Diceros bicornis minor: one gene and its partners. The protein of the gene in region 1 interacts with the protein of each later gene in a biochemical or structural test. Links are inferred from orthologs where the notes say so. Each region holds a gene or a part of one and is shown in the gene's direction. Other genes may lie near its edges.

Region 1 (7,439 bases):
GAATTTATTATTCCCACACACAATTTTTATACTTTTACTAAATATATATATATCCCTAAAGTATATGCAACATTGCATGCTTGATAGCATTAGAATATTGATATCACAGTAGGATATATATCCTACTACAACTTTTTAAAAGCCAAGTATTATATTTTTTGCTATTCAGTCATGTTGATACATGGAGCTCTAGTTCATTAATTTTCACAGATTTATACAAGTCTATTATATGGATATATGCAATTTAAGTGTTGATGAATATTCAAGTGGTTTTCATTTTCAATATAAGCAAAAAATGTTGCACCGAGCATTTTTATATAAATTTCCCTATGCACATGTGAGAGTTTCTCCAAGGAATGTTTTTGGAGTGTAAGTGCTGGGTCATCAGATACATATATCTTCAGCTCTACTAGATATTGCCATACTGCTCTACAAAGTGACTATTCTGATTTACACTCCCACCAGTTTTGTATAAGTATTCTAGTTGCTCCACATCAAAGCCAATCATTGGTATCATCAAACTTTAAATTTTTGGTTAATCTGAGGGCTGTGAAATGGTATAGCATTATGGCTTTAATTTGTATTTCCCTGGTTACTAGCGGAGTTGAGCATCTTTTGATAGATTTAATGGCATTTCCTCTTCTGTAAATTGCCTTTTATATCTTTTGTTTATATATAAAATTAGACTATTTAGAGGCCAGCCCTGTGGCCAAGTGGTTACAATTCCACGTGCTTCGCTTTGGTGGCCTGGGGTCATGGGTTCGGATCCCGGGCGTGGACGTACTCCACTCATTAGCCATACTGTGGTGGTGACCCACATACCAAATAGAGGAAGACTGGCACAGATGTTAGCTCAGGGCTAATCTTCCTCAAGCGAAAAAAGAGGAAGACTGGCAACGGATGTTAACTCAGGGCCAATCTTCTTCAGAAAAAAAAAAATTAGACTATATTTTCCTCTATAATTTGTGATAGTTCTTTTTACATATTCTTATTCTTCTTTTGTGGGTTATATACGTTGCAAAAATATTCCAGCCTGCGGTCATCTTTTAACTTTGTTGATGGAGTCTCTTGTATGTTGAGTTTTAAATTTTAACTTATCTGAATTTAACAATCTTTTCCTTCATGGACTGTGATATTTATGTTTTGTCTTTCCCTACATGAAGGTCATAAAAAGGTCATTTTTCCCCCCAAAATTTTAGTTTCATTTTATATAAAAATATTCAATTCACATGGAATTTATTTTTTTATATGGTGTGAGGTAAAGGTATGATTTGATGTTTTTCCTACAATCATTGGTCTCAGATTCATTTATTACATAGTCCATTCTCTTCCCACTGATACACAATGCAACATTTCTCATATATATTTTCCATATATGTAAGGGTATGTTTCTGGGTTCTCTGTACTCTTTCACTGGTCATTTTGTATAGCTGTGCCAATAATATGCAGATAAATTTTTATAGCTTCATAGTAAGATTCAACACACTGCTTCATATGTTGGACAAGTTATGCCTGGCATAAGGACATCAGGCTGAAGGGATGGGTGGAGTCTGAAATCCAAATCCTGCTTTGGACACCATAGCACAGGGCTGTGTCTGCCTGGAAGGAGGGGCACATTTTTCTAATTCACAGAAAGACATTGTCAGACAATTTTTCCTCCTCTGGGAAATCGACAAAGGCTAGTACAGGCCCTGAATTAAGATCTAATTGGGCAATTTTCCCACTTCCTCCTTCTTCAAAAGTGTCTCGGTTGTTCTAGGTCCTTCGCTCTTGTTGAAAGCTATAAAAAAATCTTGCTGAGATTTTCATTAGACATGCATTGTTTTTTTATTACTTTGTGGAGAACTGGCATCTTTTTGATATTTAATCTTCTTGTTAATTGATATCATCTATCCATTTATTTATGCCTTGTTAATGCCTTTTAATACAGTTTAATAATTTCTTCACAAAGGTTTTAAAAATATTTTGTTAGATCTGGTCCCAAGTTTTCTCTTTCTTCCTCATTGTTGTTACTGTGTGCAGACACACACACATACAATTACATTTTATAACTGCATGTTACTGATGTTTAGGAACACAATTTTGTATAATTATGAACATACTTTTTTTATACTTGTACATTCACAGTGAATTTCCTGTTCAAAACTTTAGTCCTTTTTTCTCCTGGGGTATCTATGGAGTGTGTAGGTGTTGTTTCCCCCACACCCCACTGTGATCTGTAAGAACTTTTGAAAGATTAAGGCTAATTGTTTTTTTGTCATATATATTGCAATTTTCTTTTACTTTCTTTTACTTTTACTTTGCCATTTACTTTTTACTTTCATGTTTTTTCTTTGCAGGAAATTTAAATTTTTATGGAGTCACATGTACCAATCTTCTGTTGTTTTTTTCTTACTTTTTATGTTTCTTCATACCAACATTAAATAACTATCAATCTATATTTTCTTTTTAAGTTATTTTCATTTAACTTTTTAATCCATCTGGAATTTGTTTTGGTGTTTGCTGTAATTAGCAATGTCCATTTTATTTTTTTCTTCCCAGGAAGTTAGCCTAATGTTCCAGCACTATTTTATTCTCCACTGAACACTACCTCTATCATGAATTTGTGCCCGTAGCCTTCCTTTTCTGTCTTGTTAACTATCTGAAGAGTTAATAAGTCTTGGGATTTTAATCAATCAATTAAACATTTTTGAAAGCTAAGAGGATACTTTGCCCTACTACTGCAGTAGTTTGAGAGAATGCTCCCAACAGAGAATTCATGTTTCCACACCGCCTACCCCCAGTCTGGCTAATATAGAGTAGACAGTGAATAGGCAGTGGATGGGTGAAAGAACTGAGGAAAAGAGGAGATACCTTTTTACTTAGATTTAGTTTTCTTTGGACGGGAGCTAGGTTTTGATTTTTTGCAAGATAATAATCCAGTAGACAGAGAAGGAGAAACTGATGCAGAGGAATGGGAAGGAAGGCATGAAAGGGAACATTCCTAGGAATGTTTGAGATATCGATTGGTTAGTCAGAAGTTGAAACAAGTTCAGAAACCAGTTAGGAAGGATATTCCGCAGCTATGATAAAGATGACAGGGTTGAGAATTTTTTCTTTTGTTTTGTTTTCATTATGGAAAATTTTATGCAGAGGAACTAGTACCATAGACCACATGAACCCATCACCCATCTTCAACAATTATCAATTCAAAAGTTAGCATTGTTTTGTCTCTACCTCCACCCATTTCACCCCTTTCCCCAACACTGAATTACTTTGAAGCAAATCCTACCCATTCTATCATTTCAACTGTAAATATTTTAGCATGTGTCTGTAAAAGATAAAAAGTCTTTATGACAACAAAATATATTCACAATATCTAGGTCGAATTAGAATTGCTATCTTACTGACTTAATGTATTAAGGAAGCCTAGCTCATTTTGATTAAAGTGGTAGAGTGTAAAGAACCTTCAACTGGAGTTAAGAGATTCACCGGGGTTTGAGTTCTGGCTCTCAACCTTCCATCTGTGTGACTCCAACAATGCTCTTCGCTTAACTCCAAATCTCAATTTCCTCATTAGTAAAAGAAGGATATTGGTAGTTGTCTTATCCATTTCAGAATTGTCATCAGAATGAAATAATAGAAGTGAAAACAAACGATCTAAAATTGTGAACTACTAATTTCCTGTCCAGTCATCTCCTTTGTAAATGATCCCCAGGACAGATCATCTTAGGCAATAGATCGTCTTTGTCCAGCCTTGTCTACAGTGTTGCTTGCTTTGGTTTCTCTTCCTAAAAAACATTACTTTGGTACTTATTTTTTAACTTGAGGGTTATAGACGCTGCGACTCATAAGTAATTCTGAATACCAAGAGAACAATGCTTAGGCTTGTATCTTTCACCTTTTCATTTCATTTACGTTGTGTTTCTCTTAGTTTTAATAGCGCCAAGAACGAACTGATTGTTTTTTGGTGCGCCCCCATTATCAGGATCCTACCGAGTGCAAACTCAGATTTTCAAGTTAATTTGGTCAACAGAGCTTCAGATAACAGGGAACAATTTTTTATTTCCTCCTCTACAAAGAGCCACAGCAATCATGGAAAAACATTTAGCTGAGCACATTTTGATTGCTAATATCTCTCTCCATCCTTGAGGGGGAAATTACTCATCTCCCTATAGGGGGAACTCGAAAGAGAATGTTTTCCTAAAAGGGGCCAAGTGGGCGGCGTCCTCTCTTCCCAACGCCCTGATTTCCATTCTTAGACCTGGAGATAGGCGGCGGCTTTAATTTTTCTTCTTCCTAGGTCCCAGACCTTCCGCGCGGCTGAAGGTGCCCAGGCCGGCGGGTGGCGGCGGGCGGCGGGCCGGGCTGCAGACTGCGCGCCTCCTCCCGCCGCTGCAGGGCTCGGGGCCTGGGGCCGCGGCGGAGCCCGCGGAGTCAGTTTCTTCCTGCGCGACTCCCGGCCGCGCCGCCGCGGCGAGTGGGATCCGGTCCCGGGAGGCGGCGCCCGCCTGGGGTCCCGTCTCGGCCCGCGCAGGGACCCGCTCTCGCCGCGTGCGGACCGCCCACCGCGGTTCTGCACGGCGCCGTACCTCGGCCGAGCCTCTCGCAGGCCACTGAGCTCGTTTTGGGGGCCTGAGCGGGGGAGGAGGAAGCCGAGGAGGAGGGCCCGGGGACGGGGAGGGCAGCGCAGGGCGCGGAGCCGCCGCCTTCCTCATAAACAGGCGGGCGTGGGTGCCGAGGGGGCTGGCGGGCAGCGCTGGCCGCGGGCGGTGAGCTGTGCTCGGCCCGGAGCAGCGGCCGGCGCCCCTGCCCCTTCCCGGAGCGGCCGGCCTTGGTGCGGGAGGGGCGGCAGGTTTGGAGCAGGGTCCATCATGGCCAGTGGCAGCTGTCAGGGGTGCGTGGAGGAGGACGAGGAAGCTCTGAAGAAGTTGATAGTCAGGCTGAACAATGTCCAAGAGGGAAAACAGATAGAGACGCTGGTCCAAATTCTGGAGGATATGCTGGTGTTGACGTACGCCGACCACGGTAATCATTTCCAAGGAAACTGTTCCTTTATCCCCCTCCCCCCCGCCTCTGTTGCAAACTTTCTCCCCCGCACTCTGGAGCTGCACAAAGCCTGGACTTTTGAGAAGCCACCAACTCTATACTTCTTAGGGTAGAAGGGAGCTGAGAATTCTAGAAAGGTCTTGCGCTCACTTCTTTTGCTTTCTCCCCCCCCCCCTTTTCCGACTTAAAAGGAGGGCCGTGAGTCGTGACTTTGCTTCTTTTCCCTCACCCACTTTCTTTTCCAGCCTCCAAGATATTTCAAGGCAAAAATGTCCACGTGCCTCTGTTGATCGTCTTGGACTCGTATATGAGAGTCGCTAGCGTGCAGCAGGTAAAGGAGCTGTTTTCATTTCGCCCATTCCCCGATCACTTTGGAAATAGATGTTTTTCTGTCAGTGTTATATGCCCAGAGTTCTGGATTGTTTCTGAGATTTGGCTTGACAAACCGCTGACTGATTTTAAGACGGAAGCGTTGTCAAATCATTATCAAATGTTAACGGTGTGAAAGGGCCCACTATGTGCTCCCTAATTGTCTTAAAGAAGTAACTTTATACAATTAACTGACAAAATATGGATGGTGGTGAGAGGAATAATAATGGGTTGAGTTTTCCGTTATTGGCTATGAGTTCATCAGTGTTTAGATCAAATTATCTAAGACTCTTCCCAATATACAGCATGCCCTAGAGATGACAGCATTGTGAATAGTTTGGGAAAGGAGAACAGTTAACAATAATAAAATTAATAAAAATAAAATTAAGTAACTGGCAAACTCGCATAGGTTTCAGGGTTTTCTTTTTTTTTTTTTTTAATTTGAAGACAGATTTCTAGCCTTCTTTAGTTGTAGTATACCTTGTATTATCTAAAGAAAGTGATGTTTTATGATTCTTCTATAAGTTTAAATTTATACTTTTCAACTGTTTTCATATAAAATGAATGTAAAAGTGAAACATTTAGAATCTGCCTCATAGGAAACCCAGAAATTTGCTAAATTCTTAGATATGTTAAAAAGGGAGCCCTAAGATGATAATTAAGGATGATTTACAGTCAAAACAAGATTAGTGCCTATCGTGTTCACTTCCTTTGTAGATTTTGAGATTTAAAGAACTGAAATCAGTTCTGTCATTTGCATGTTAAGTCCTGAAGGGAAAGAGAGTTGAACTTTAAACTCTGTCAAAGTGCAGTCAGAAAGTCAATGTTTCTTAATATATGCTTGAGTGTCTAGACAGATGTAAAAATTATCTGGATCTCTAAATCTGTATCTATCTATCTTTGTCTTTATGCTTATCTCTGTAGCCAGCAATGTCTAGTTTGGGTGAACCATATACCTAGCTTCTTTTCTGGGAGTATATTTATATCTGGGATAAATGGTTACTTTTATTTTTCTTCAACTGAAATATTTCCCATTTGACTATTGATTTTTAGGGTGTTAACATGCAAAACCATGAGAAGATGAAGGCTTGATAAAGACAGTGTTCTTTTTAGCACCCAATGTCTGAATTTTGCCCGTGGAATATGAGTCACTTTTTCACACTGGCCCGTTGTGCTTGCTTCTCTCCACCCAAATCATCCCTTCTTACTTGCCTGTGCTTTTGTGTTCAAAAGTGCCTGCTCTGGCAGCCCCCATTCCCTGGACTCTGTGCTTGGTAGAATCACCCCTGCTTGATACCACTCAAAACATTTGGACCCTGGGTGGCTTTGATCTGCAGAGTCCAGAGGAGGCAGAGCTAGACTTGAGAATGCAGAGGAGCCTGGAACATAACCACTACCTAATTCTTCTTCGTTTTAGAAACTGCCCAGGCCTGGGCATGTTTGTCTGGAGTGGTTATGAATGTCACTCAGTATCTTTTCCCAGTGACTACCAGAGACAAAGTATGCAAGAAAATGAGGAATTGTCTTCTGATTTGGTAATTGAATGGAATAGAATAGTTTCAGCACCATATGTGTATTAGTCTGCAAAGAGTATTATGTAGCTTACATCATTTGATTCTCACTGGACTCTCACTGCCCTCTCAGATATCTCACTGGCTATTTTTTCCTTAGTAGGTAGCTCATTTAGGATCACAGAGCTAGGGACAGAGCCAGGACTCAAGTCTTCTCACGTCTTCCAAATCTCTTTCCATCATACAATTCCCTAGCTGCTGAATTCACAAGCTTTTCATTGCAAGTAAAAAGTGCAATGATTTGGTACAAATATTGTGGCCATGGTAGGCATAATGGCACTATCAATTTTAATTATCGGTGGTCTTATTAAAGGGATGAAGAAAGAGGTCTTTCTACTGATATTATAATACTCCATTTAAAAGAAAGTGGGTTTTTATCCTTCAAATTTCTTCATATTACTGATGTAATTAGTATAGATATTCTTTAATGCTTTATGTGTTGAATTAGCTGGAAGTGCTCAATTAAAAGCT
Region 2 (7,725 bases), on another chromosome or scaffold:
TTGTTTCAAAGTAAATGAAAATGAGAACAATTAAACACTAGAACTTCTACATGTAGTGAGAACAGTAAAGCACATCTGAATGTTTGGGAGGCTTTATACTTCGATAAGGCTGTCATTGTCCAAAATGTTTTGGAGACTGCCCTCCAGCACAGAAATTATTCTATGGAATAATTGTCTATGGATTATTAGATTTACAGCTGCTGAGAATGGCTTCAGACTGCCCAGCAAAGGCAGACAGGCTAAAAATTGTTATATGGGATTGGTATTGATGTGCAATGTTGACTGGCCCCTGGTCTGCTTCTGGACCTCCAGGCCCCAGTGATTTGTACTGGCTTTCCTCCAGCCTGTCAGCCCTAACTCCAGCAGAGGCTGAGAGGCTAGAATCATCCTGTACAACAAGAATGCCTAGCACAGCATTTTTCAGAATACATACTGTGGTCCACTTAAAAAGATCTTTAGGAAAATGTACCTTATAGCCCATGCTTGATGATTCAAAACACATGGTAAACGATAAACGGTTTGACAAATCCTGTAGAAACCATTTTAAGCTACTTTACAAGAACACTTTGACCATGAAAGCTTATCTTTTACATTTAACCTTAGATGCTGAAATTCCAGAGATGCTTGCTGCTTAGGGACCAAGAGCCAGATTGAAGAGTGAACATCCTGCAGCTCTGATCTCAGTGAGGCTGGGCCCTGTTATGGCTCTGGTCCTTTGATTTCCATGGAATCCTTGTGTATCATTAAACCCCCTTCACTTGAACTCTCTTGAGTTGCTCTCTTGTTCCAAATGAAAACTCTACTTTTGTCACATACAAGTTCTCTTTTGGGACTAGTGGCAATTTCCTTACCTATTGCATGTCTGAGTGATTTTTCAGTCTGAATTTTTTTGTTTGATTTGATTCTCAAAGTGATTCTGCTCTTAAGCTTACTACATTTTCTACTCACCGATTTTCCATTTTTCCGGTTTAAAATCTTATCCTTCACTGATTACTACGAACGTATTTAAAGCAAATAGTTAATGCTATTTGTAACCCAGAGTTGTGTTGTCTCTCAAAACCACTGTTGTCTCTTTAACAAGGAGCCATCCCTTGCAGATCCTGTTATGAAAGTCAGCTTTAGCCTGTGTGACCCAAAAAATAAGCTGGTAAAGATAACTGGGTCAAACTGTTAATATTCCCCAGATTTGCCAAACATTTTCCAGCATTTTTGACAAGGAAATCCAGGCTATAAGGAAAAGATAAAGATGGTAAACATCTGTCAGAATTCATAGTCTTGTAACATATGGTATAGTTTTTTTTATGTGATTGTTTCGGATAACCATTAATCATTTCTAAATTAATAAATCCTAGCTGTAGTTTGCTGGAGACACACTATTAGATTGGACCATCCATAGTCACTGAGTATTTTTGACCTATAGAAATGGCAATTGTATGTTTCAACCTGATAGAATTGCTCACAGGAGAAATAATTTGGTCAAAAATCAACATCTAAAAATCAGGGTGTCGGGCCAGCCCTGTGGCTTGGCGGTTAAGTGCACGCGCTCCGCTGCTGGTGGTCCTGGTTCGGATCCCGGGCGCTCACCGACGCACCGCTTCTCTGGCCATGCTGAGGCCGCATCCCACATACAGCAACTAGAAGGATGTGCAGCTATGACATACAACTATCTACTGGGGCTTTGGGGGAAAAATAAATAAATAAATAAAAATTAAAAAATAAATAAATAAATAAATAAATAAATAAATAAAAATGAGGGTGTTTGCGTTCAATTCGTTGAAGCTGTTGAAGCTGATTTCTAAACATCTGCCTAGGGCTGTTGCTGATCTCAGTTTCTCTCCTGATGGAAAGTCATATACACCTTGTATTAGTTGTCTGTGGCTGCTGTAACAAATTACCACAAACTGGGTAGTTTAAAATAACAGAAATTCATTCTCTCACAGTTCTGGAGGCCAGAAATTCAAAATCAAGGTGTTGGCAGGGTCGTGCTCTCTCCCAAAGCTCTAGGGAAGAATCCTTCCTGCCCTCTTCCAGCTTCCGGTAGCTGCTGACACTCCTTGGCTATTGGCCACATTGCTCCAGTCTGTACCTCTGTCTTCTCATTGTGTGTGTGTGCGTGTGTGTGTGTGTCTAATCTTCCTCTGCTGCCTCCTTATAAGGACACTTGTGGTTGCATTTAGGGCCTACCCAGATAATCCAAAATAATCTCAAAATCTTTAACTCAATCACATCTGGAAAGACTTGTCTTCCCTGTAAATTAACATTCACATGTTCCAGGGATTAGGATGTGGATATCTTGGGGGTGGTATTTTTCAGCCTTCTACAGACCTCATTGCTCATTTTCAAGGGTCAAGAAAGTCTCAGCCCATCTCTGTAGGCCGTTAGGACCTCATTAAGAAGTCTGTGTATACCACTTAACCTGTATTTTAAATCAGCCAACCCAAAGACACTTCAAATTTGGTAAAAAGTTGTGCAGCTATTTTCAACTGCTCTAAGAAACAAAGAAGTATAAAAAGGAAAGAGGGACAAGAAAAGGAAGGAATAACAGTTTTAAAAAGACAGTAGTCAAATGGCCCTTATGTTTATTTTATGTGGTTATTTTATGACTAAAATGATCTATTTTGAAAGGATTTGAAAAAGCTGTGGCCTTCTCCTGACAACTCTAGGAATAAGAGTTCTGTTTACCCCCTAGTTTAACGTAAAGAAAGAAGCAGCAATTCAAACCCAGAACCAAGAAACTTTGACCTCAATCTCCTCAGTCCAAAATCAAAAGAAATCATGAATAGGCAGAACACTTGCTTCTAAAAGAGCCCAGCACCCATACTTCCCTCTGAGAAAGGAGGGGTTCCTAGCGTAGTCTCACACAGAAACAGATGTGGTGGAAGGGATCTTAGGTTTGGGGTGGGCAAGTTTGGTTTCAAAGTCCCAACTCGACTTGAAACTAATTTTTTGTGTGTGTGAGTAAGATCAGCCCTGAGCTAAGATCCATGCCAATCCTCCTCTTTTTGCTGAGGAAGACTAGCCCTGGGCTAACATCCGTGCCCATCTTCCTCCACTTTATATGGGATGCCAGCACACAAGGCCTGACAAGCGGTGCATCGGTGCGTGCCCGGAATCCGAACCCTGGTCGCCAGCAGCGGAGGAGGTGCACTTAACTGCTACGCCACAGGGCCGGCCCGAAACTGAGTAATTTTTAACCAGTTAACTTTTCTGGGTCTCAGTTGTCATAAAACGCAACTCCCAAGCAATGTTCTTAATAACATCAACATCTCTCCTGGAACCATACTATCCATGTCTTCCTAGTGTATACCTCTGTCTGGCATTCATTCAGGGCTATAGAGGCATTATATCCGAAGAAGCCAATAAGAAAAATTCCATTCTCATCCACTCCCATTTAGTTTTCTCTGTCAAATACAATCTCCAATTGAAATGGATTCTTCTGGAAAGAAAAATAAGCATCCATTTGATTATCTTAATATAAGTTTAATTCTGAGGCTGCTGTCAGTAACCACCACAAAAAGCAAAACAGTTTTTCTAGGGAGATAATACTAAACGAGAAAGAAATCCTCTCCAGCTCTCAGAACTAAATCCAAGTGTCTTTGCACATCTCCTTCTACAAAACAAGTGGCTTCTTTTCTAATGAATGATAGCTACTTTAGTATCCTGAAACCAGGGTGGGTCCAGCTTCTCTAAAACGGAAGAAGAAATGTTAAATTAAGTCACATGACAGGGCCTGGAGGGGGAAATGATTTTGTGCAGTATACCAAATTTAAATTCTGCTTTTGCTGTTAAAATAAAAGCAAGAAGGGGAAGAGGTAAGAAAAAAAATTGCAAAGGCAAGTGAAAACAGTTTCTCCGAGTACTGGGTTCTTCGTTTTTCAATTCCTTTTGACCTTGTTAGTTTTGACTTCATTCCCATAGTTAGGTTTATTAAGTGGAAACAGAATGAGAAGTCCGTGGGACACACTGATATTAGCCAGGAAGCATGATTCGTTGAAAATGCGGATAAGATGAAAGGGCGAGGCGCCTTGAGTTATGAAATCCCACGGCTGGCATAAGCTATTCCCCAGTCAGTGACACCCTAGCTGCCCCGGTGTCAGTACCGCCATGTTTTGACTTAGTCTTGAGACTCTGGTTTGTGCTCTTCCACTCTCCACCGTACACAGAGCTGAGCACTCTTTTCTACAGGACTCCTGAAAGCTCCAGAACACTCCAGAAGAAACGGCAGCGGACAGAGTTTTTCCAAAGCAGACACTGGTTTTCCTTCCTGCTGCCTCTCGGCGTGTTCGCGGTCAGACACCATGGACAGCTCTCCACGCGCCGCCGGGTCGGCCCCGCGTGCCGACTGTCCCGAGCCCTCCCCCTCGCCCATCAGGCCGGTGGGGGCAGCAGGGGGTGGTCCAGACACCCATCTTGGGCACGTATCAATACCCAGCCCCCAGAGTCCCTCCCTGGCGCCCACGGGGAGTGTTGGTAAGCTCTGAAGAGCCCACGCGAAGGGGCCAGGGAGGCAGAACCTCCCTTTCCCGGCATCCCCAGCGGTGGGACCTGCAGCCGCGGCCTGGGGGACGCGCCGCCCGAGGCGAAGGTCACCGCGCGCGGAGGCGCCAAACAGCCCCCCGCCGCAGGGTCCCAGGCGGCCAGAGTGGGCGGGGCCTCCCTCCCGAAGCCCCGCCCCTTCCCCCCACGGACGGCGGCCCTTCCGCCCCCGGCCGCGGCGCAATGCGGAAGAGATGGGCCTGCTGGGCCGGAAGTGACGCTTCCGGCGGCTGTGGCGGTGGCGGCTGCGGGAGAAGGAGGAGGAGGAGCCGGCGGAAGAGGTGAGCCAGCCGGCGGGGGGCGGGGAGCGGCCGCGGCCAGACCCACCGGCAGCCGGGCGCGCGGGCGGGCGCTTCCTGAGGCGGTCTCCGCCGCCGCAGCCCAGGCGGGAGCGGTGAGGGGCGACCGAGGGCGGGCGGGGCTGCGAGGGGACCACCGGCCATGCGAGGCGCCGCAGCGGGCGGGGGGCTGTGGTGACAGCGGCTGTCAGCGTTCCTGCGGGAAAGGAACCCAGTCGGTTTGGGCGCCAGGTCCTCTCTTCTGGTGCATAATGGAGGGACTGAGCTGCTCGGCGCTTCCTTCCCCCCGGGAAGGAGCTGCTTTCCCGGGACCCCCGAGGAGCCCCGGTCGGGTCCATGTCCCGAGTCGTGACTCTTCCCGGGTGACCATTCATATATACGGGCTCCCGCCTGCGGTCCTCCCCGCCGGCGGTGGCCCGAGGCTGGGCGGGGGGCGGCGGTAACCGGTGCCGATCCCCGGCCCTTCGCCACCCGGGAGACCTGGCGTGTGGCTAAGCCCTTTCCTCCTCCCGCCCCCTAAGGAGCTTTGAACCAGGCTCGTTAACCTTCCCACCCGCCGACCCCTCCTTTCCCCGCAAAGGAACGGCTTGAAGTTTCCGAATCGGTTCCCTTTCAGCGTAGTGACAGATCCCGAAGCAGGAAGCTGATAAATAACTCCGAATGAAATACGCTCAAAATTGTTCTCTTTGGTAAACATAAAGTAAACGGGAAACTCATCTTTACCGAACCGTTCATGGACTTAGAGTGATAGAGCCTTGATCTGCCGGGAGAATCGGTCGCTTTTCCTCTTGCTTTTTGATCAAATTCAGTGACGACTTATATTTTGGAATAAACCGTTCTCTCCCGGAGCTCCGTTTTTTCCACCCCGCCCCCCCCCATCAAAACCTGGCAGGGAGGGACTTCTGGATGCTTTGCAGTTCTTGCTGCAGAAGGAAACATCAGCTTCATTTGCTCTGCTTTGCTTGGTTTTCACAGGGCTGCCTCTGAAGAAAGGAGAATGGCGTTCAGCAAAGGATTTCGGATCTATCACAAATTGGACCCCCAACCTTTCAGTCTCATAGTGGAAACTAGGCATAAGGAAGAATGTCTCCTGTTCGAGTCTGGGGCTGTAGCTGTGCTCTGTAAGTCATGTTATAGCCCAACTGATCATGGTCCCTGTTTTGATTCAAAATAATTCAGATTCAACCATTTTTTAGAGAAGACCCTGACAACCTCCTCACTGTATTTTATCTAGGAGATTATGCCTTTATTTTCTTTTAATCAAACCTTATTTTCTTTTAAACTTTCATTTTCTTTTTTTCCTCTGAGGCAGGTTTTTCCCAGGGGTTGGGGGAGATGCGGATTTTGGTTACAGGTTTTTGCTTTCTTGGGTTCTTCTGCTGCTTCTAAAAGTAAATCTTTCCAAAGAAATATGGTTGCAGTTTATATCACATCACATAAACCCGTCAAGTGGCTTAATTGATATCTTTACTGTAATGAACAGAATTTCTTATAGGTCAGTTATAGAAATGGACTATAAGAATATTTATTTATCTAATATTGTTGGAGTATCTTATGGTGACGGCCTTATATTTTCATTAAGGGAATTGTAAGCAACTTCTAAAATTACATGTGAGATATGTGATTGATTTCATATTATTTAAAAAGTTATTTTGATAGTCTATTTTAAAGAAAAGGACTACTACACTACAAGAAAAATACTAGATTAGTAAGGTTTGGGTTATTTTGTGGGCAGACGAATAAAATTAAAAATGAAAAGATTAATTTGAATATTACATTTCTTTCTTGATATGAGATTTTGGCAGATAACTCCAGTTTGGAATTATTTGAAATATGATTGTGTTTTTAGAGGCTTTCTAGTGATAACTAGTTCTTTGTCATGTTTTTGCTATGTTCAGATCAGTTGAGTTACTGGTCATATTTTTATAAATTAAAAATAGTGTTTGAAAATCATACTTACAAATATAAGTCCCTAAATATTTTATACTATTAGACTTTCTCCAGATTCAATAAGTGAAAGACCATAATTTGACGTTACCTGATTTCCTAATTTGTCTAAATTCTAAATGTTTCTTAAATTGTGATTGCTGGTAATAACGGAAAGTCAAATTTTCAGCTACAAAGTATGTATTACCTATAGTTATTAGGATTATTGCTATACTTTACTCCAAGGTCAGGAAACCTAAGGATAATCATATTTCCAAACCTCTAGCAGCCCCCTTTTTTGCCAAATAATGGTTAAAGAAAACAACTTCCTAAAACCATCCATTTTGGTATTAACATTCATTTTGAGGAAAAAGAATATTAAAAAGTTGTCTTAACTATTTATTAATTCGATTTATTTTTGTTAAATTTAGACTATGTAAGTAATTCTTTCAGGAGAAAAAAAGTTTGAATATTGCCTTTCTCTGTAAAGCTAGGGTAAATGGATACGTAATCTCTTAGGTGTGTTATTAGCTTTCCTACTATAAACTTTACAGTAACATTTAAAATACTAATATTTAAGAGTTAACCGACCTTATTATAAGTTATTTGACTTGTCAAATTAATTTGACATTCAGTTTGGAGTGACACCAAGGTGTGTATTGTGCTATAGAGTGTTCATTTTTAAAACTTTCACGTTTTTGGGGCCGGCCCCTTGGCTTAGCGGTTAAGTGTGCACGCTCCGCTACTGGAGGGCTGGGTTCGGACCCCGGGCGCCCACCGAGGCACCACTTCTCTGGCTATGCTGAGGCCACGTCCCACATACAGCAACTAGAAGGATGTGCAGCTATGACCTACAACTATCTACTGGGGCTTTGGGGGGAAAAAAAAATAATAATAAGTTCAAACTCCTCAACCTGTCAATCAAGGCCTTCAATAATTTGGCCCCACCCTGTTTGTCCAGTGT
Region 3 (7,398 bases), on another chromosome or scaffold:
AGCAACTAAATGCAATGTATGGACCTTGTTTGGATCCTGATTCAAATAAACCAATGTGAAAAGTCATTTTTGAGACAATCAGAGAAAACCAAACCTGGGCTGTGTATTATAAGATAGTAAGGAATTATTGTTAATTTCCTTAAGTATGATCATGGAATTGCAGTTTTGTTTTTTAAGTTCTTACTGTTAGAGCTACATACTAAGGTCTTTATGAATGCAATGACATAATGTCTGGGATTTGCTGTAAAATAGTGCTGTTAAAAAAAGTGTGAGGGATAGATAGAATAGTAAAATAAAGCGGGTGATGGGTGCATGGAATTTACTGTACTATTCTCTCTACTTTTGTATTTGTTTAAAAATTGTCATAATAAAAAGCGAAAGAAAGAGAGGAAGAAAGTAGAGAGGGAGGAAGAAAAGAAAGAAAGAAGAAGGAAGCAAGGAAGGAAGGAAGGGAGGAAAGGAAAGGAGGAAGGAAGGAAAGGAGGAAGGAAAGAGGGAGGGAGGAACAGGGAAGAGAGGTTGGAGGAGGGGAGTAAGGAAGGAAAGAGACAAAGGAAACCCACTGGGTGTCTCAAGGCCATTAATCGTGAAATTTCAGAATATTTGAAACAAAAAGAAACTTTTGGAGATACAAATCAGGTTCTTACATTACACATCTGTGTAAGAATGGCTGAAATCAAAAATAATAAAAATAAAAACAAAACTTGACAATACCAAATGCAGGCATGAATATGGAGCATCAGGAACTCTCTTTCATTGCTGGTGGAAACGCAAAATGGAACAGCCACTTTGGAAGACTATTTGGCAATTTCTTACAAAGCTAAACACAGTCTCAATATACAATCTAGTAATCATGCTCCTAGGTATTTACCCAAATGAGTTGAAAATTTATGTCCATACAAAAACCTGCACATGGATGTTTATAGCAGCTTTATTCACAATTGTCAAAAGCTGAATCAAGATGTTCCTCAGGAGGTGTATCAGATTTCTGGGGCTGCTGTAACAAAGTACCACAACTGGAGATGGCTTAAAACAACCAAATTTATTCTCTCACAGTTCTGGAGGCTAGCAGTCTGGAATCGAGGTGTCAGCAGGGCCGTGCTCCCTCTGAGACTCCACGTAGAATTTTTCTTGCCTCTTCCTAGTTTCTGGTGGTGGCTATGGACCTCTGGCATTCCTTGGCTTGTAGCTGTATCACTCCAATCCCCGACTCTGCCATCACGTGGCGTTCTCCCTGTGTGTCTCCCCCTGGCTTTTTCCTCTTGTCACATGGACATCAGTCATATTAGATTAAGGCCCATCCTAATGACCTCATCTTAACTTGATTACATCTGCAAAGACTCTTTTCCAAATACGGTTACATTCACAGGTACCAGGTGGTTAGGACTTCAGCATATCTTTTTGGAGGACACGAGTCAATCCATAACAGTAGGTAATGGACAAACTGTGGTACATTCATACAATGGAATATTATTCAGTGATAAAAAGAAATGAGCTATCAAGCCATAAAAAGACATGGAGGAACCTTAAATCATATTGCTTAGTGAAAGAATCCCATCAGTAAAGGCTTCAGACTGTATGATTCCAACTATATGACATCTGGAAATGGCAAAACTAAAGAGTATAAAAGAGAAGTGATTGCTGAGGGTTGGGGTGAGGGGAGGAGGTGAGGGCTGAACAGCTGAAGCACAGGGGTTTTTAGGACACTGAAACTGTTCTATACGATACTGTAATGGTAGATACCTGACGTTACGCATTTGTCCAAATCCATAGAACTGTACACCAGAAAGAATGAACCCTAATGTAAACTATGGACTTTAGTTAATAATAAGCTATCAATATTGGTTCATCAGTTGTAACTCATGTACTACACTAATGTAAGATGTTAACAGGTGAAACTGTGGGTGGGGAGAGATTGGGTATGTGGGAACTCTCTGTACTATCTGGTTAATTTTTTTGTAAATCTAAAGCTGCTCTAAAAAAATAAAGTCTATTAATTTAAAAAAATTCACTATGGAATCTAAGGCTAAGTATCCCTCTTTCAGGAAGTCTTTCCTGCTCTCTCACCACACTCCCAAGATGGGCCACGTGCCCTTCTCCCAGGCACATATATTCCTATGGGCACATATATTCCTATGGTTGCCACATTCTTTTGTTTTGTTTTTTTTGGTGAGGAAGATTGGCCCTGAGCTAACATCTGTTGCCAATCTTCCTTTTTTGCTTGAAGAAGATTGCGCTGAGCTAACATCTGTGCCAATCTTCCTCTATTTTGCATGTGGGACACCGTCACAGCACGGCTTGATGAGCGGTGTGTACATCTGTGCCCAGGATCCAAACCCACGAACCCTGGGCCACCTGGGCCGCCAAAGCAGAGCGCACGAACTTAACCACTACACCACCGGGCTGGCCCTGCCACATTGTATTTTAATATCTCTTTGTGTCTCTGTCAGTTAATAGCTGTGGTTTGCCAACCCCTGGCCTAGAACGCAGAGATGGTGAAAGCAGCTAATCCATTAGCAGGCACTCAGGGATGCCTGGCAGAGGGCACTTCTGTTCTCTCAATGCACTGATGAGGTCATTTGTGGTGTAATTATCACGAGCCCTCTGACCCACCAGGGTATTTTCTGGATAGGAGCATAAGGCACAGTCATATCACATTAAGCCTTCTGTCAACCTGAGCAGTCTCTGGATTATTGATCTTTGGTTTGCGAAAGATAGATCCCCATGGGGAAGTTTTTGCACTGGGAAACTTTTCCAGGGTTCAAATCCTGTGGTCTTCATGTCAAATCTACGTCGTTTATATTACACAACACTCTCTTTCAATCCTGCTCAAGTTAAAAGGTGGTGTAGTATGGAGGTCACTGGCACAAACGCCCATATGACAGACAACATGAATGAGGAAAGCAGACTCAAGTCAGGAGGAGACCCTGGCGCTTTGAAAAGTCCGGGCCTGATCTAGAGTGGGCAGCCACTCTGGCGTCAGCCAATTATTGCCACACAGAAATATGGACACAGTGTTGCCAGATAAGGCAGAGATGCAGATTTTTGCTCACACAGAAATCTCTCAGTCTTTAAAAAATGTTGGCAACTGACACAGACAGTAGAGAATACTGGACATGGCATATTGGGAGAATAAGGAATTATCCGACTGAATTGGGGTTTTATGAAGGAGGAGAAATAGCAAGGGAAGGTGAAGAGTGAGGGCAGCTTCTGGAGCCTTGATTGTCACACTCAAGGAGCTTATCAATTGTCTTCTAGGTCACCAGACGATTTATGCAAGAAAGGGACACCATTAGAATGGCATTTTCAAAAGATCACTTTGGCAGTTGATGGGGGCAGGGCTGAGGGTAGGGTGATGAGTTAGAAGTCTATCATTAAGCTAAGTAAGGGTAAAGCAGAGACGACAAGGGCCTATTTACTTTGTTCTTTCTGCTACCAGACTGTAAACGCCAAGACAGCAGGGTCCCGTCTGTCTCCTTCTTGCTCTGTCTCCAGCACTAAGGACAACGCCTGCTCAATAAACATTTGTTGAAAGAATGAATGAAAAAGAGCGACTGGAGGTGAGAGGCGTTTTGAAGCACTGGGTTTAAGAGTCCACGGCCTGGGGAGGAGCAGAATGTCGATCACGGTGAGAGCAGTCATGGGAGTGGGGGGCGGTAGAGGGGTTTCCTTCTCTGAAACTTCCCCTAGGGGCCTTGGGAAGGGAGGTATCTAAACGAGAGCACAGACACAGGCTTCAAAAAAACATCTTCGCGGGTTCCATTCCCGGCACTTCACGTAACCTCTTCGGCCCACAAAAGGAGGAGGGATTGAAAGGAGGATTAAGCGAAAATTTAGGGATGAGCAATTTCTGTCCTTCCCTGGGTCCAGTATTCCCACAGCACACAGCACGAGGGGACTGACTTCAACCTCCGAGCCGGTGACGATTACTCTCGTAATCTCGGGTGCGGTGGGAACCGATGACCTCGGAGGCTCCGGGCCTGGCCCTGGCGAGCTCCGAGCCGAGCCAGAGAGCGCACCACCCGGCCTCGGGCCCGCCCAGCGCCCAGCCTCGCCCAGCCCTCCTTGTTCCCCACACGCTCCATTTCTCCACACCCCCAGCTCCGCCCCCGCTCCTCCCACCTCCGCTTTCCGCTCCCCGCCCCCACTTCCGTCCCCCTCCGCCCGCCGCCTCCCCGCCGGGACCCGCCCCCCGCCGCATCCCGGCGCGGCGCTCTTCTTCCTCCTCCCTCCGCCAGCGCCCCTCTCGGGCGGACGGGGCAACCCCGTGCCCTGCTCGCCCAATGAGGAGGCGGCGCAGGGGCGGGGCGGGGCCGGGGCCGGAGCGGAAGTGGTGACCGGAGCGGAAGTGGAGCTGCCGCCACCGCCGCCGCCGATTCCGGAGCCGGGGGAGCTGCCGCCGCCGCCCCTGCAGCCGCCGCCGCCGCCGCCGCCGCCTGAGGAGTGGGCCTGGGAAGGAAGCGGTCGCCGCGCTCGGAGCTCCTCTCGTCCGCGTCTTCGCCCCCTGCAGGCCTCCCACGGTGAGTGCGGCGCGGGGACCCCCGGGGGCCCAAGCCCCGAACTCCCCCACGGCCGCCGCGGCGGCGGCGAGTGCGACCCCGCGGCAGGGCCCCGGAGTGGCGGCGCGCGGCCTCCTCCGCCCCGCGCGGCCGCCTGCCGCGGGCCCGGCCTCGCCGCGGCCCCTCCCTGTTTCCGGGGCCGGGCCCTTCGCGCTTGGAGAGGCCCGGGCCGCCCTCGCCGCCTGCGCCCTGCCGGGCGGGCGGGTGCGGCTCGCCACCGGGCCGGAAGGGACATCGGGCCCCGGACCCGCTCTTACGACCCCGCTTCGATCCCCGCGCGACCCCTCCCTGCGCCTTGAACGGCGAGAGCCCACCCTTTCAGCCCTGTGACCGCTCCTCCTGGTTTTCCGGTTTCCAAAAATTAAAATCTAAGCGAATGGGGGCGAGTTCTCGAGCCCCAGCGCCTGTGCTTGACCCCCCGTAGGTGGGTAAGGGGTTTAACCTTGGGAAAACCCCTCCCACTTTGCAGTAAAGCCATTTCATCATCGTTCGCTGATTTTGGAGCCTGGCAGGACCCGAGATTCCCTGAGAAGCACAGGGTTGAGGTTTGAATCAAGAATATGCATTTCTTGGAACCGGTTACTGAGTCAGGCCGGATCCCCAGGAAAAAAATGTCAGAGACTGAGAATCGGAGTATTTTCCCACGGTATTTACCGTCATTTAAAGCCAGAGCCTTTTGTGTTCTCGCCCAAAATTCCCCCATGCTGTGTGTTAGTACATTTTTAGAACTGAAATTTGCCTAATGGCTTCCCTGGTGATGGGGAAGGGGTGGGAGTGATTTGGGCCCTTTTTCTTCAGAAGATGAGTACACTTTTGTCTATTGCAAATGGAGAACTCGCACGTAACGGGGTTTTCGAAGGTGGCAGTATTGGTAAGACAGTTTGCCAGCCTTTCTGTAAAAATGCGTGTCTCTTGTCCTCGCCTTCACTGCTTTTCTCTTTGGTAAGGCTAGATAGCATCAGGCTCTGATTTTACTTGCCCTGTGTGGGAGACAGAATTTGGCAGGATGATGTTATGAATATGTAAAATCAGGCGGCCACAGGAGCCAAAACAGAAAGATGAAGCACTTGTAAGAATAGGAAAATTGTCTGCATTTCTCACTCCATGTCAATTGTTCATATGAAACCACACACATACAATTTATAGAACTGGACACGTGGCGACTCAGCTTTTTGCATTTTCCTGTTAGAAATTTATATGTATAAATATTAATTGGTTCTTAGTGATTTTCTTCTTGACCGCTCCCAGTGCACCCCATTTTGTATTTAGAACTGAATCTCAGTTGTCTGAGCCCTCACATTTCTTGGATCTGTGTCTTTAAGAGCACACAGCATGGTGAGGGTAAAACTTGTCACTGTCACTGGACCCAAGTTAGGAATTTTCGTGTGGTTTTCAAAATGGAAGCCTGATAATCCAGTAGCAACTGCTGAGTTCTTTTCTTAGCCTCTCCTGTCAAAGAGATAAGAAACCATTCACCCACATTACAGATGAAGTCTTTATGAGAAATGAGGTGATTTGGCCTCGACCACACACCTGGTTTTCAGATTGAATATCCTCATTCATAAGCAGCAAATATTTATGGCCTGTCAGCCCCTGGAGTATGGCTCCTACCCTGTAATCTTCTGTACGTTTCCCATCATGCAGTGCTTGTGTTACGTTGAAGCCATTTTAGAATTGGAGCTCTTTAGGTCAGGGAGGCAGCCTCCATAAAACCAGGCTGAGGAAATTCCCAGGATGCTAGGCAGAGTCTCCAGAGATTTGGGCCACTGCACAAAGTGCATTTTGCCCATGTGGCTGTGGATATAGAAGCAGAAAGAGCACTGGGCCTGGAGTCAGATAGATTTGGTTCAGGTTGAAAGACCTGCAGCATTTGTAGCTCTGTGATCTTCAGCATGCTGCTTAATCTCTGGTTCTTGGTTTCTCTCTCCACAGTTGTCATGAGGCCTTTTCACAAACTGTAGATTGTTAAATATAAGCTTTTGGTTTTGTTTTTTGATCAGAGTTCACTATTAATGGCTTTCTTTTATTCTCTAGTTGCATTCTGATGAGACCCACCCTTACTTTGTATACATGTTGCTTTCAAAAAATGAAATAATAGAATTTTATTTTGTGTGTAGTATCTCCAGTCTGTCTGAGCCCAGTATCTCATCTGTACAATGCAAATGGTAATAGTCTGATGTGTTATTGTGACAAAGTCAATAATTAAAATAAGAATTTGGGATGTAGTAGGTGTTTAATAAATATTATTTGACCATATTCACGAATATACACATATATAGATTAGACCTGTGTATATACGCTGTATAGCATAGACACAGAGAAAGTCCATCCATTTGTGGTTTATTCACCAACTGATGAGGTAGCATCAAGCAATTAGTCTATAATAATAGCTACCACTTACATTGCCTACTGTGTGCTAAGCTTTGTTCTAAGCACTTTGCACATATTAACTAAACCTGCAAAACACCCAATGATAGGTAATACTGTTAGCCCCATTTTACAGATGCGGAAATTGAGGCACAGAGAAGTTAATTATCCTAGGGGCATACACAGACGCAGCACAAGGTAAGTGCTGGAGCCAGGAGTGAAACGTACGCAGTCTGGCACTGATGATTTCTGCTGGTGGTGGAACAACACATGTATATCTTTCATGTGAACACCGTTTAGTCCTTCATTTTTCTTTGCATGTGTCTTATTAAAGTAAATATGTTTGAATAGGAATTTTAGCGATTTTTGAAAATAGATATAATGTAATTTATTGTGGGGGAGTATATTCATTGTGGCCTGTAGAGATGATACTGCTGGTTTGCATCAGGAAGCAAGCTTGTGAAAAACCCAG
Region 4 (6,539 bases), on another chromosome or scaffold:
CGGCGGGACCGCTGAGAGCCAGGATTCGGAACTCGTGAACTCGTGACAATCACACACTTGGAGGAAAAATGGCGACTCAACCTGGGGGGTGGGGGGTGGGGCGAGAGGCTTTCGGAGGCGCTGTGGGTGTCTGGACTGAAGTTTTTAAATATATTTCTTTCTCTAACCCATCAGCACAATAAAAAAAAGTCACTGGTTCAACAACAGGGTTTAAAAAAAAATGTCTTCAGCTTTAATTCAAAACTTCAGGTTTCTTTTTCTTTTTTTTGAAATTATTTTCCTGAGCCTTTTGTTTTACCGTATATTGTAAACTTTTATGTTAAAGAAAAAAATATACATTTACAAATTGTGAGATTTTTAAGAGAAATTTTCTACGATGTATACTGGCTTATTTTTTAATTTAAAACAGGGTTTCCGTCGGCACTGGTGGAAGTGGGGGCTGTTTTTAGTCCCCACTCCTGGCTTTGAGGGTTGGGACTCGTGGGTCCAGAGACTCTGGGAGCTTCAAGAAGAATCTACTGAGTGTGTTTTGTTTTTTGTTTATTCCTTGCTTTTGTCGACTGACTTGCCTGGCAGTGTCTGCAGGTGTGCTGTCCGCCCCGCGTCCCACCCGGGCATCGAGGACACGGAGGAGGCCTTGTCAGCCCATCTCCTGCGCGCGTGGCTTCAGGGCATCCCCGCTGGCCAGTTTGACCCTGGTTTGAATAAAGAGAAGTGCGTTTGGATTAGAAACCCACGTGGTGTCCGTGTCTTCCCTCCTGCCTGGGCAGGGCCCTCTCCGGGGGTCCTCTGTTGGCCGTGGGCTCCTCGGTGGGCTCAGCAGCCGCTCGGGGCCTGCTTCATGGGTGAGCTGGAGTGGGGAGCCCGGGCCTCTGTCTTGGCGGGTCTCTGGGTCTTGGGGTTCTGGCAGGTGTGGGTTTTAGGATGGTCTGGGGGTGGGGTGAGCTGCAGATCCAGTGTTCTGGAGTTCAGTGGCCATCCGCTGGGTACTGAGAAAAAGGCATCTAGACAGATCAGGGGGGACTGGCCAGGCCTCCCCCATCCCTGTGCGAGTGATGCCTGGACTGTGGCCTTGGGCCGGCCACTCACATTTCCAGGAACTGGGCTGTTGACCTGGGTGATGCAGGCGTCAGGACAGCCAGTCCAGAGCCGGCACTCCTGGAGCTGAAGGTGGCTGTGCTGGACACCTGGGGGGCACTGGGTGGGCCCAGCTGATGTTCACAGCCTGAGAGGCAGGGCCGGGCTCGAGTGCAGGCGAGTGTGGCTCCTGGAGATGAGTTAGGGGTGGGGCAGTGGGTTGGGATGAGTGCTGGTCACGCGTGGGCCTGGCCCGTGAAGCCCGTCTGCAGGGCCCTTCCAGCCCCAGTATTTTGGTGTTGTACCACGTGGTTTCTGTCCATTTTCTTGACTGCCCCCCAACCCCAGAGGCAAGGGGCTTTGACCTTCAGCGAGCCCCTGTTTGCAGCCCTGAGAAGGGAGGGGAGTCAGCCGACTTACACGCAGGACTTCCTTGGCCTCTCCTCGAGGTGGGGAGGGGCTCCTGTGTCCCGAGGAGGCTGCCCTGGCAAACAGCTGTGACAAAAGGGGTGAATCCCCTCTTGTTCTAGTGTGGAGGGGTCTCCTGTGGCTGCTGTGACAAATCACCAAAACTTGATGGCTTAAAATAACACACACGTCGTCTCACGGCTCTGGAGGTCAGGAGTCCGACACAAGCCTCCCCAGGCTAAAGTCCAGGTGTGGGCAGGGCTGTCCTCCCGGAGGCTCCAGGGAGAACCGTCTCCTGTCTTTTCCAGCTTCTAGAGGCCGCGTCCTGGGCTCAGGGCCCCTTCCTCCGTCTGCACAGCCCGCAGCCAGCGCACAGCCTCTGACCCTCCTCCTCCCTCTGATGAGGACCCTGTGATGACCCTGGGCCCCCGGGGATCCAGGGTCATCCCCCATCTCAGGGGCCTCAAGTTAATCCATCCGCAAAGTTCCTCTGCCACGTGAGGTGACACGTCCACAGGTCCCGGGACCAGGACGGGGACGTCTTTGGGGGCCGTCATTCTGTTGTAAGGACCACAGTCGAGGTTTTAAAACATAACACAAAGAGCCAATTCATCCAAAACATGGCTGCCTCCAGTGTCCCAGCTTGGGATCAAGGGAGGGACAAAACAGCCACCCCCCCCCCGAAACGCAGCCCAGCTCACGCCCCATGTCGGGCAGGTCAGCTCAGCTCAGAGATAGTCAAGAAAAGGGGCGCCCTCCCCACCATACCCCAAAGGCCCCTTGGAGACGGCACCCCGCCACACACCCCTCGCACCCGGAGGAGGTCCCTCGTTCCCCTGTCGACGAGCCTTTCGAGCTCCCTCCCGAGCTGCGCCGCGGCGTATGGAGGAGTGGGAGTGGCCCTCTCCCGGCCTTGGGCGCTGTGCAAACCTTGAAGGCATTTCCAGCCGCTACGAGCTCCCTGCCAGTCTGACCGTTTGCTCCCAAGAACGTGGGCAAGCCAGCGCCACACCCTCACACCCCGAAGGACACCTCCAACAGCCCCAAACATGTGGGTGACGGGGAGGGATGGCCCCTCCTTTGGGTGCAGTTTAATTGGCTCTCCCCCGGGATTGTGTAACTGGCCAAGGAGGGCTCAGCATCCTTCCAGGCTTCCCGTTCCCTCCAGGCCAGCCCCAGCTCCCCACAAAGCTGCTGGGCTGAGCCAAACCCCACCCAGTTAGCTGCCCTGAAGGCTGGGATGGGGCTGGAGGCTCAGTTGCTGCCTGCCCCGCAGGGAAACAGGCACAGTGGAGTCAGAGGGGGGCACTGGCCTTTTCCCTGGTTCAGCAGCACCCAGCTCATTCTGACCTCAGGGCCTTTGCACGCCTGCTCCCGCTTCCAGGGCTGGTGGCCTCCTCAAACCATTGGCATTTAATGTTGTGACCGCCGGGCCCGGCTTTACCTCTGCCATTTCGCTTTGTTTTCTATGTGGCACATGTCTTTTTTGTGCTCGTGTGACTCTGTTAATGCTTTCTTTTTCATTAAATGAGTATTTCCTAGTGTAGCATTTTAATTCCTTTAATAATTGTTTTCACTATATGTTTTGAGTGATTTTCTTAGTGCTCCATAGTTTACCATATACATCTGTTTGGTTTTTTATTGTGGCAAAATATACATCAGATTTATTTTTAACCATTTTTAAACGTATAATTCAGTGTATTAAGCACACTCACACTGTCGTGCAACCACCCCCACCATCCGTCTCCAGAACTTTCTCATCCTCCCAAACTGAGACTCTGTCCCCATGAAACACTGACTCCCCGTCCCCTCCCCCAGCCCCTGGCCCACCATCCACTTTCTGTCTCTGTGGCTGTGACTCCTCTAGGGGCCTCCTGTGAGGGGATCACACAGTATCCGTCCTTCCACGTCAGGCTCATGTCACTGAGTGTCATGTCCTCCAGGTCCATCCACGTTGGAGCAGGTGTCAGAATCTCCCTCCTTTTCATGGCTGAGTAATATTCCAGTGTGTACATACTATTTTCTTTATCCATCGATGGACACTTGGGTGTTCCCACCTTTTGGCTGTTGTGCATCATGCTGTAATGAACACGGGTGTAGAAATCTGTTCGAGTCCCTGCTCTCAGTTCTTTGGGCTGTACACCCGGAAGGGGGATTGCTGGGCCATAGGCTAGCACATACCTCTTAATGTACCAGAATCCCCTTCAGATGGACACTTAGTCCCAGTGAATACAGAAACAGCACTCCCATATAGCTGTAGCCCCTGATCCCTAGCCATTGTTAACAGTTGTTCTTTTATATAGTTTTGTCCGTTAAGGGCTGGCTGGTCCTTATCAGGGATGCCTGTTCTGACCATCTGTGTGAAGCCAGTGTCCCACCCCTCCTGGCTTCCCTCTCGGCTGTGATATCTGTATGACCTTGTCTCTTATGTGTCTGCCTCCCCTACTGGACGCGAGAGCTCCCTCTCGAGAGCAATATGGGGACCCGAACCCCCTGACCGCGCCTACTGCCAACAGTAGGTGCTTCGTAAATCTTGCTAGGTGGGTTCCATTATGCGGATTATAGAGCACGAATATGAGGCTCCGAAAGGGGAAGCGAGGTGCTATGTCCCCCAGTTGAGGAAGGGTCTCCCAAAGACTAGGCGGCCGGCCCCAGCCCTGAGGTCCGAGGCCCCAAGAGACAGTGGCTCCTTTAGTCTTCGCAGCCTGCGCTTTGCCCTCCGGACAGAAGAGGGCGCCCGTCCTCCGCCGGAAAGCGGAAGCGCGTGCACGCACACGGCTGATGGGCGGGGCACGTGGGCGCCCTCGCGATAACTGCGCAGGCGCACTGGGGGTGGTCCTCTCTGAAGAACCGACAAGATGGTGAGTGCTGCGGGTTGGGTGTTTGTGCCGGATGCATCCTTCGCCATCCGCGGTGCAGCCGCGCAGTAGAGGCCGGGGTCAGGCCGCACGGCTGCGGCAGCCTCCTCCAGGCCTCCGGGGCCGCCAGATATGGGGCGCGGGGCGGGTGTGGTGGATGTCGGGACGACCCGGAGCGGGGAAGGCCTGTGCGGACCGGCATGTCCCAGCCGAGCTCCCGTAGCCCGGAACCGCGCGTGCCGCCCAGGGACGGGGTGGAGGTGGTGTGTCCCCGCGGGCTCCCGTACCCGGCGGCGCCGCGCGCGTTTGGGTGGGCGCCCCGGTGACCGCGCCGCGGCCGTGGGGCTGGGAGGTAGGTCTCGGCTCCCGCTGACCGCTCCGGGCCCGCGCAGGCGGAAGTGGAGCAGAAGAAGAAGCGGACCTTCCGCAAGTTCACCTACCGCGGTGTGGATCTCGACCAGCTGCTGGACATGTCCTAGTAAGGGGCGCGGGCCGGGCGGGGGGCCGGCGGGAGGGCCCCGGGGGTGGGGGCTGCAGCCCGAGCTGTGCGCGCGGCTTAGACCGAGTGTCAACGATGGGCGGGCCGGCGTGCCAATAAAACTTTATTAGGACACGCTGAGGTTTCAGTGTAACGCTCAGCACGTGTCTTTGGACGTGTTTCCAGGCGCTAGGAAACCTAAGAGCGCTCTCCCGCTCGCGGGAAACCCTGTAAAATCCTGGGGTTTGGCACGTACGCGGGAATCGGCCAACCCCCTGGCCTGAGCTTGGGCAGGAACCTTCTGGGCAGGGCTGGGGTGGTCTGACTTTTGCTTTTTAAAAACCTGCCCTCGGGTGCAGAGCGGGTGCGGGGTCCGGCCCCCAGATGGGGAGGGAGGCTATCGACAAGCAGGGAGCACCTGTCCCCGGCAGGTGTGCCTGGGTCTGGGCGCGGGGGGTCTCACAGAACAGGCTCCTCGTGGGCTGGGGGCTTCTGGGGGTCTCTGCTCCTGGGTTCTTGAGGCCTGTGCGCCGGGGTCCAGCAGCTCGGCCACCTTTCCCCTGCCTCGGTTTCCTCTTCTGCACACACCGATGTGGGGGTTCTTGCCTTTGCGGGGCTCGTCCCGAGTATCTGGCACGGGCCCTGGCCCGGCCGTGAGGGCGGGTTGGGGGGCGTCACCGGGCGCGGGGGTGTCCGGCCAGGGCTCAGGCCGCCGTGCCCCCCCGCAGCGAGCAGCTGATGCAGCTGTACAGCGCCCGGCAGCGGCGGCGGCTGAACCGCGGACTGCGGAGGAAGCAGCACTCGCTGCTCAAGCGCCTGCGCAAAGCCAAGAAGGAGGCGCCGCCGATGGAGAAGCCCGAGGTGGTGAAGACGCACCTGCGCGACATGATCATCCTGCCCGAGATGGTGGGCAGCATGGTGGGCGTCTACAACGGCAAGACCTTCAACCAGGTGGAGATCAAGGTGCGTCGGGGCGAGCGGGGCTGCGCCGGGCCCGGGGGGCGGGTGGGGCCCGTGCGCCGCGGTCGCCTAACGCCTGACGCGGGCTGCTCTTCGCCTCCGCAGCCGGAGATGATCGGCCACTACCTGGGCGAGTTCTCCATCACCTACAAGCCCGTCAAGCACGGCCGGCCCGGGATCGGGGCCACCCACTCCTCCCGCTTCATCCCCCTCAAGTAGGCTGCGCGCCAATAAAGGCACAGACTCCGGAGTCCCGAGTCTGCCCCGTCCTTCCCGGCGTCCGGCGTCCGGGTGGGGGGTTGGGAGCTGAGTGACTCGGGCCCCGTGACGCGTCCGGGGATGTCCAGGGTCTTGTGCCCCAGCCCATCTGTTGTTCCGCTCTCTTTGCCGTCTTAACACGAACAGCTGCTGCATTTGGTCCCAGGCCCCCAGGTGCAGCACCTGGTGTGTCCTGGGTGCCCGGCAGCCTCTCCTGCTGTGAGTGCCGCGTCGCCCCTCAGCCCCCATCCCCTGCTGGGGCCCCTCCTCCCACGGCCCCCAGTCAGGGGTGGGTGGTGTCCAGTCGAAGCTCGAACAGTGGGAACTTGTGCGTGATCTGAGCCTCCTCCCAGCTCCCTCCGACCTCGCACACCTGCCCAGGGTCCCTCAGGATGCTCTTCACCTGCACCGTGCTGCTTGTCTGTCCCTCTCCCTGGACGCTGTGCCCCTGATGAGCTTCCGGGAGCCTTCCGCAGTGACTCAGGTCCCCAGCCTTGGGG

The links.
Region 2: of the proteins of LRRK2 (region 1) and SYNJ1, one has a biochemical effect on the other in vitro, tested with the Homo sapiens proteins (2 studies listed by BioGRID). The link is inferred for Diceros bicornis minor from reciprocal best matches to the Homo sapiens genes LRRK2 and SYNJ1.
Region 3: the proteins of LRRK2 (region 1) and YWHAB interact on a protein array, tested with the Homo sapiens proteins (2 studies listed by BioGRID and IntAct, with this or other methods). The link is inferred for Diceros bicornis minor from reciprocal best matches to the Homo sapiens genes LRRK2 and YWHAB.
Region 4: of the proteins of LRRK2 (region 1) and RPS15, one has a biochemical effect on the other in vitro, tested with the Homo sapiens proteins (2 studies listed by IntAct). The link is inferred for Diceros bicornis minor from reciprocal best matches to the Homo sapiens genes LRRK2 and RPS15.

Annotation. Positions count from the first base shown.
Region 1 is NC_080756.1:28,440,855-28,448,293, reverse strand, and holds the start of LRRK2 (leucine-rich repeat serine/threonine-protein kinase 2), read left to right. Parts: upstream 1-4,436; 5' UTR 4,437-4,853; coding exon 4,854-5,007; intron 5,008-5,273; coding exon 5,274-5,359; intron 5,360-7,439. UniProt on the Homo sapiens protein: Serine/threonine-protein kinase which phosphorylates a broad range of proteins involved in multiple processes such as neuronal plasticity, innate immunity, autophagy, and vesicle trafficking.
Region 2 is NC_080766.1:33,285,388-33,293,112, reverse strand, and holds the start of SYNJ1 (synaptojanin-1), read left to right. Parts: upstream 1-4,719; coding exon 4,720-4,817; intron 4,818-4,888; exon of another isoform or gene 4,889-4,930; intron 4,931-5,810; coding exon 5,811-5,956; intron 5,957-7,725. UniProt on the Homo sapiens protein: Phosphatase that acts on various phosphoinositides, including phosphatidylinositol 4-phosphate, phosphatidylinositol (4,5)-bisphosphate and phosphatidylinositol (3,4,5)-trisphosphate. Has a role in clathrin-mediated endocytosis.
Region 3 is NC_080758.1:16,288,541-16,295,938, reverse strand, and holds the start of YWHAB (14-3-3 protein beta/alpha), read left to right. Parts: upstream 1-4,382; 5' UTR 4,383-4,520; intron 4,521-7,398. UniProt on the Homo sapiens protein: Adapter protein implicated in the regulation of a large spectrum of both general and specialized signaling pathways. Binds to a large number of partners, usually by recognition of a phosphoserine or phosphothreonine motif.
Region 4 is NW_026691553.1:897,062-903,600, forward strand, and holds RPS15 (small ribosomal subunit protein uS19), read left to right. Parts: upstream 1-4,289; 5' UTR 4,290-4,343; coding exon 4,344-4,346; intron 4,347-4,735; coding exon 4,736-4,821; intron 4,822-5,549; coding exon 5,550-5,784; intron 5,785-5,886; coding exon 5,887-6,000; 3' UTR 6,001-6,031; downstream 6,032-6,539.